Ovis aries: one gene and its partner. The protein of the gene in region 1 interacts with the protein of each later gene in a pairwise test. Links are inferred from orthologs where the notes say so. Each region holds a gene or a part of one and is shown on either strand. Other genes may lie near its edges.

Region 1 (3,746 bases):
AACTAAATCGGAGTTAACAGATAGGAGTAGATCTTCAAAATGTCTATAATCAAAATCAGTTTCAGACTCACTGAAAGCAGGCTTTATTGAATCTACACCATAGTTAGCTTAGCTGGAAATTGCAATCGCCCTCTAATTTTCATCAGCTTACATGTGACTTCTCCAGGTTGTTAAAACAATCGCCTTGCTCTCTAGTCTGATGCCAATGCTAGATACTACAAAAGAGGAACAAAGTGGACAGGTTCTCTGGTTTGGTTTTGACTTCAAGCTGATTTAAAGACGACACTTAAACAGGATTATTCTAAACTCAATATTGCGACTTGTGACATGACAGGGAGAAAAAGTCACCTGCCTCTAATTTAAGGTGACACGATGCATTTTGATAGACATAATTTTTTGTCTGCCCTTACATTATCGTTTTTTGAAAAGTCAAATCAGGAAAAATAAAGACTCTTTAACAAGTCACTGAACACAAGCAGGACTATTCAACTTTCCTCTCCCCTAATAAAATAAACCGAAGTCCAGAGACCGCGGTGTACACCTGTTAAATCGTCAGGGACCGGCTGGATTTTTTGTTTTTTTGTTTTTTTTTTCTTTTTAATGATAACTTATCTGACTGTTACGTGATCTATTCGAAAACATCTTTCCTGCCCAAATGACATATCCGGGAAAGATGCTGCATGTCAACAATTCTTCTCTGGGCTTGGACACCTACTGAGCTTCTTTCTCGGTCTTACAACAGCCACCACCACCTTTTCTCCTTCTTTTTGTAGGAGGGGGGCGGAAAAAGCAAACCAACCCCAAACCACCACGACCATTGGTCCGGGTGGGTGTCCGCACGGCCTCATGGAGACGCGTCCTCCCCCACCCGGCCGCCAAGCCACAGGAGAGGAATACCAAAGAAGGCTCCCCGCTCCCCAAGTGTCATTGTTTGCTAATTTCCTGATGTGCCCTCCGACTTGTTTACGCGGAATCACATCCTGCCTCCCCCCTCACCCCCAGCCGCACAACTTTCCTCGCCGCCCGGTGTGTGTGCGGCCGAAGCCCGACTCGGGGAGGGGACCCGGGGGGGTTGGGGGGGGTGTACCAGGAGCCCCGGCCCTCGGAGTTGGCCGCAGCGCGGGCCGGGGGCTGTTTACGCGGCAGCCAAGTCCTCCCTCGGCCGCCCGCACGCCCCCCGCCCGGCCCGGCCCGGCCCCGCTTACCTCGGTTCACCAGTTTGAAGCTCTGGGATTTCCTGCTCCGCTTCCTCTCCGAGAACTCCATGGTGCGGCGGGCGGGCAGGGCAGGGGCTGCGGCCGGGGGCGGCCAGGCGGAGGGACAGAGAGAGCGGCGGCCGAGGCGGCGGCGGCGGCGCTGGCTCTTGTCACCCGGCAGCGGGAGCGCGGGGACCAAGGTCCGTCTCTTGGATCCGCAGGGGGGAGGCACAAGCAAGGGAAAAACCACTCGAGCCCGCCCGGGGGCTGCGGCCGGCGGGGCCGGGCAGGAGGCGCTCTCCCGGGCGAAGTTGCCCCCTCCTGGCCGCCGCTCAGCTCGCCCCCCGACCCCGGCTCATCCCCGGCTGCCGGGCTAGACGCCGCCGGAGCCGAACTTTCCGTTGGGGAGCGAGTTGGGGGCGGGGAGGGCGGGCCGGGGCTGCCGGCGCCCTGGGCGCTCGCCGCGGGCCGGCCTGGGTACAGCTCCGGACGCGGCGGCGGCGGCGAGCGCGGCCCCGGGGACGCGGCGGGCGGGCCGAGGGCGGCGGCGGCGGCGGCGGCAGGGTGCGAGCCGGGTCGGGGCGCTGACCGCCCCCGCGGGAGGAGGGGCGCCGGGAGGAGGCGGCGCCGCCGGGACCCCGGGGCCACCTGCTGGCGGAGCGCGGCCGCCGCCATCCCCCGGGGCCCGGGCAGCCGCCACCCACCGGCCTGGCCGCGCGGCGCCCGGAGGAGGAGCCAGAGGCCGCGGCGCTGCGCCCTCGGCCCGGCCGGCCCACCCGCCCCCGGGGACCGCCGTCCCTGCCAGGCGCTGGGATCCCGACGCCGGTGCCTCGGGGGCCGGCGAGTCGGGCTGCGGCTGCCCGGGGGAGCCTGGCTCCCGGCTCCGAGCTCGCCTGCATCTTCCCGGGGCCGATCTGGTTCTCAACGGCTCTGGGTGTCGGCGACCCTTCTGGCCAGCCCACTCCTCTCGCCATGAGATTCAGGGTGTCGGAGGGCCAGACACTGGTTTCAGGCAAGTTTTAGGGGGGAAGAAAAATCAACCAAAACCCAAAAACTTACCCATCTGAGCTCTGCAAGGAAAAGAGATTTTAGAATTTACTGATCAGACGAGTATGGAAAAGAGTGAGCTTCAGTTCTTTACTCCAATGCGAGGAGGGATGTAGGAAGATTGGGAGTTAAGTTCAGGGAGAGAACTTCGAATGTGGGGCTTGGAGAGGGTGGATAGGGTGAGCAATGCGACGTCAGTGGGTGCCCCACCTCTCTTCTGACTCTTAGAGAAGACATGGCCAAGGCAGGTGCAGAGGGCTCTGCCATTGGGTGTGCTAAAGCCAGAATAATCCGCAGGAATGGAAAGCTTGTGTTAGTTTTATACTGTATCCTTTTCTAGGGAGCTAAGAGTACCCCATTGCTTTTTCAAAACAACTTTATTGTGGGGATGGAAGAGAATTCTATACCAGCGGGGACTGGCAGGTCAGAAATGTGATCGGATAAGCTTGAAAAGTACCGCCACCAAACTGGTCATCTCTAGACGCAAATACAAAGAGAGTAAAGAGATGGACGTCGGAACCAGCAGTGTGACTAGTTCAAGTGACCTCAAAAGAGTGGAGAGGAAATAAAGGGGGAGAATATGTTGATAAATGTGGTAACACTGCCAGTCTCACGCAAATGAGGAGGCAGCTGCTCAGGACTCACTCTTTTTCTTTTTTTATAATTTTGTGTATTATTTATTTTTGGCAGTACTGGGTCTTCCTTGCTGGGCAGGTTTTTTTCTAGTTTTGGTGCTCAAGCTTCCCTTTGCAATGGCTTCTCTTGATCTGGAGCACCAGCTCAAGGGCTCCATAGTTTCAGTTCCCAGGTTTTAGAGCACAGGCTCAGTAGTTGTGAAACTTAGTTGTTCCTCAGCATGTGGGATCCTCCAGTATCAGGGATGGAACCCGTGTCTCCTGTATTAGCAGGCAGATTCTTTACCATGGAGATACCAAGGAAGCCCCAGGATCCTCTCTTATTTAACAGGAACACCTAAGAGAAAGAGGTAAGTTGGAGGCAACCTGCGTAAGCATATACACACCAGGAAATCAAGGAACCAGATAACCCATCAAACAGCAGAAGCAGAGCCTGGTATACCTTCTGAGGTCTTATGTTAGGCTGTATGTATATATGTAATAAGTGGGGAGGCTGGTTTCAAAGTGAGAAAAAGGACAGTTCAGGGGACTTCCCTGGTGGTCGGGTGGTTAGGACTCCGCACTTACTGCAGGAGGCTCAGGTTCCATCCCTGGTCAAGGAACTATGATCCTGCATGCCAGTGCAGCAGGGCCCCAAAAAACAAACAGAGGAGTGTTCCTTCTGTTCCCTAAAATGAATCCTTAAATAAGAGGTTTTTAATCTTTTGCTCAGTCTCCTTGGAGATTATATTCAGAGTTCAGGGCTTTTTCCTAGAAGATATGTGTAGGACAAACAAAATTGTATACATTTTTTGGAGTTCTAAAAGGTAGCAGAAAGGATTAAAGTGATAACAAGGATTGGTCAACTACTCTATTTGGTTTTCTACTG
Region 2 (3,746 bases), on another chromosome or scaffold:
CCCGGGCCCAAGCCCACCAACCGACTGGAAGGTTGTGAAGCACGGCCCCCGCCCCCAACTCCACGAACCAACTCATCCAGGCTAGCCCCTAAAACGACCAGTAGCACCTAACGTCACCCCTAAAATGACCAACGATAACTGCAGCCTCATGAAGGCCCACCCTGGCCGACCACTTTCCACACACAACCTTATTCAGTCTTCTCTGAAACCCCGTGGCATGGCTACTCTCACCCACTTACAGGTGGGACATCGAGGCTCTGAGGAGTTAGGAACCCAGCCTGAGGTCATGCTTTGGGTAAATGGGACTCAGGATTGAGCTGGAGCCCAGGCTAGCCACCATCCCGCTCTGCCTCTCCAGTTCTTACCCTCCTGCTCTGAGCTCCCTGGACCGGATGCCGTATCTGGGGCCTGTTCCCTCTTCCCTTCCTCAGCCCTAGTTCCCCAAGCCCTCCAACCTAACCTATCTTGAAGGCCGAGAGCCCAGGGACTTGGCTGGCTCCCAAGGCCAAGAATTTTAAATTAACCACTGTCTCTTGAGCAATAACTGGCTGGGGAATTACCTGGAGGTCCAGTGGTTAGGACTGTGCTTCCACAGCACTGGGCCCGGGGTTTGATCCATGGTCGGGAAACTAAGATCCCGTATTCCACACCATGCAGCCAAAAGACAAAACAAACAAAACACTAACAGGCCAAGATGGCATTCACGGCCGCTCCTCGTGTGTTCAGCTTTCAGCTCCCACGCTTCCCACCCTCACATCAAAGCCACTGCTTTCTCCACTGCCCACAGAGCAGCAACATTTCTACCGCTCTCCCAGGGCCCACAGACCAACTTCTATAGACCAGGGTCCAGGCCGATCCCTCTCGTCTTCGGCTCCATCCCTGCAAGAGTCCCAGACCTGTCCAGGACTCAACCCTGCCATCCATCTCTGGAGCCACTTTCCACCTTCCCAGCCCTACAGATAAAACACACTCCTCCAACTGCTCTTTCAGTTCCCACACAGAGCTGACCTTCTCTAGAGAACTTTTAACCTATGCAGTCGCTCTCTCCCCACCACACCTCAAGCCATCAAACTTCTCCAGCGCTCTCACCTTCCACCGCCAGCAACTCCAAGGCTTTCTCGGGGCAGGCGGGACAGGGCCAGAGGAAACAAAACAAGGATAGCCCTCCCAGAGCCAGGCTCCAAAGTTCCTCTGCTCCTGAATGACTGACAATGTTCTGCTTCCCTTTTTTTTTGGGGGGGGGGGGGGAGTAGGGGAGGAGAGGAAGAGGAGGCGCACGGTGATTTTTCTTCCTAATGCCAAGATCGAACACCTCCCTGGACTATCTCAACCAGCCTCAAACTGACCACCAACTAGCTCCTTTTTCTTGCAAGTTTGTTTACCTTGCCTCCCTTTCCCAGTCCCAGGACTGACTGACTCCTCTACCGCCAGGCTCCAAGTTTACTCCCTGTCCTCCTTTCAGCCAAGGAAGTTGAGTCACGTGACCATCCCCAGCCCCGAGGCTTGCAGACCGACAACTGTAACCTCCTTCTGTCCCCATGGGCCCATCAAACTCCTCCAACTGCCCTTTCAGCGACAACGTTGACCCACTCTTCCTCCCCTGACTGTTCTATCCTTCTCTGAGGAAACTATGAACTCAAAGGCTACTTGCCCTCCTAATCAATCTCCCAAGCCACTAAACTTTCTTTGATTGCTCACCGTCTTAATTCCTCAAACGATCACCAGCAGCGTCCCTTGGGGAGGGGAGAGAGGCAGTAACATACACCAGCTAATGTTCACCTTCCCAACCCAACAGCCACTCCCTCTCTAACACCCTCCAAGCTCTAAACGGACGACTGTCTCCTTAAATCATTATTAGGGGCAACTTATTGAGCTCCACCTCTGTACTGGTGGCCGCACGACTCCCAGGTCCCCAACCAGCCCGCCCCCGCGCTCCAGCCGTGGCTACCATGTCTCCAGGGGTCTTTGGGTTCCACAGCTCCGGACACGATATCTTCGTCGGAAGGGAACGTAACGCGCTTGGCCGCAGCCTTGAGGCGCCCGTCGGCCGGGGGCGATGCGGGGCCGGGAGACGGGGCCTTGGCGGGGGCCTCCTCGGCTTCGCCGTCCGCGCCCGGCCCGGGCGGCGCCTCCTGCGGCGGGATCTCCATCGCCGCCGCCGCCGCCTCCTCACGGGGGCCCTGGGGACATGCCCCGGGCCCCGGACTTGTCTCTCCGGGCCCTCCCGCCGTCCCGGGGCATGGGCTCAGCCACTGCTTCAGGCGCCGACTCCGTCCCCTCTCCTGGTCGTCGTAGTCGTCGCCGCCGGGAGCTCGAGCGCGCCTCCCCCGAGCCCCGTGAGCGTCTGCTCGTTCGCAGCCGCACTTTCGTTAAGGACCAGTGAGCCCGCCGCATACACGAAAAAGCAGAAAATCAATTTAAGTTATTTTCAGGTAGAGTTGTCTCGTGCGTTGTTAAAGCGGGTACCAAAAAGCAGAAAGAGCCACGGGAAAAAGAAACGTGAGTAGTGAATCTGCAGAGCCGGAACTGCAGAATACGAGAGGCGGGGCGAGATAGACGCCGTCTCCCGGAGCAGCGCGCAAGCGCGAACCTAAGCCGCTCCCCCGCCCCACGCCTCCCCGCTTCAAAGTAGATAACTAACATTCAGGCCCTCACACATTCGTCACGAGCTCAGGCAACGGAGAAAGGAGTGGAGGTGATAGGAATAAAAACATATGCTTGGTGAGGCTAGGCCAACTGATATGGAGAGAAATAACGGGATGGAGAACTTGAAAGGCTATAGGAGTTGTGTTGATTATATGAGTACAGGTGATGGATGCTGACAGAGGGAACCTCTGGCTGGAGACAAAGCCTGTCTCCATTTGCTGGTTAGGCTCCAGCTTTCCATTTGCAGACTGCAATTTCATCAATGACCCTCTTTGGATGTTGTGGTTATACAGGCGGTAAGTCGTGTCGGGCTCTTTTGTATAAATTGTATTTTATATAAACTTAAAAACGGAAATGTGAGTCCATAGGTGTGTTCTAGCCTTAGTTTAGCTTTTTTTTTTTTAAGAAAAGAAAGAGCTGGACGAAGGAAGAAATTCCGAAAGCAAGGGACGAATCTTCCAACCGAAATACCCGGCGATGGAGCAGGTAGATCTCGAAGCCAGTAGCGAACAAGCACGAACTCAAGCCACGCCCCCACAAGGGCTGACTCAGTCGTTTACTATTCGCCTCCGCACTTTCTCCGCTCTATCCCAACCCAACCACAACCCTGGGTGGGCGGAGCTAAAGCCAAAAAAGGTGACTTGGGGAGGAGCAAGTGATGTCGTTGCTAAGGCAACTCGAAATCTGGGCCCAGGAGTCGCCAGAGGTAGCGTTGTGAATGAACAAATGGGAGCTGAGGCCCTGCACAAGCCTCATTCAACTTCAGTGGTTGCCGCACCTTGACCACTGAAGATGACCAAAGCAAATCACATCTATATTGAACGGAATCTTCACTTACATTCTTAAACTCATGGGACTACAGAGGGGGCAGAAATTACTTTTTAAAACAATCTACTGAGGGAATTCCCTGGAGGTCCAATGGTTAGGACTCTGCTTCCCCTACAGGGGGGATGGTTCAACCCCCGGTATGAGAAGTAAGATCCCAGTGTCATGGCCAAATAAATAAAGTAAATCTGCTGAAAGACTGCTAGTAATGGGGCTAAGTGTGTGAAATGGACAGCTAGGCTACAAAGCTGGGGTTAAATGGAAAAGGGGCAAAG

What was found.
Region 2: the proteins of BEND7 (region 1) and PPP1R37 interact in binary tests that used the Homo sapiens proteins (3 or more experiments, as listed by UniProt). The two-hybrid records come from large-scale screens. The link is inferred for Ovis aries from reciprocal best matches to the Homo sapiens genes BEND7 and PPP1R37.

What each region holds. Positions count from the first base shown.
Region 1 is NC_056066.1:27,562,545-27,566,290, forward strand, and holds the start of BEND7 (BEN domain-containing protein 7), read right to left. Parts: upstream 2,400-3,746; 5' UTR 2,256-2,399; intron 1,678-2,255; exon of another isoform or gene 1,405-1,677; 5' UTR 1,267-1,404; coding exon 1,206-1,266; intron 1-1,205.
Region 2 is NC_056067.1:52,552,295-52,556,040, reverse strand, and holds the start of PPP1R37 (protein phosphatase 1 regulatory subunit 37), read right to left. Parts: upstream 2,298-3,746; 5' UTR 2,151-2,297; coding exon 1,949-2,150; intron 1-1,948. UniProt on the Homo sapiens protein: Inhibits phosphatase activity of protein phosphatase 1 (PP1) complexes.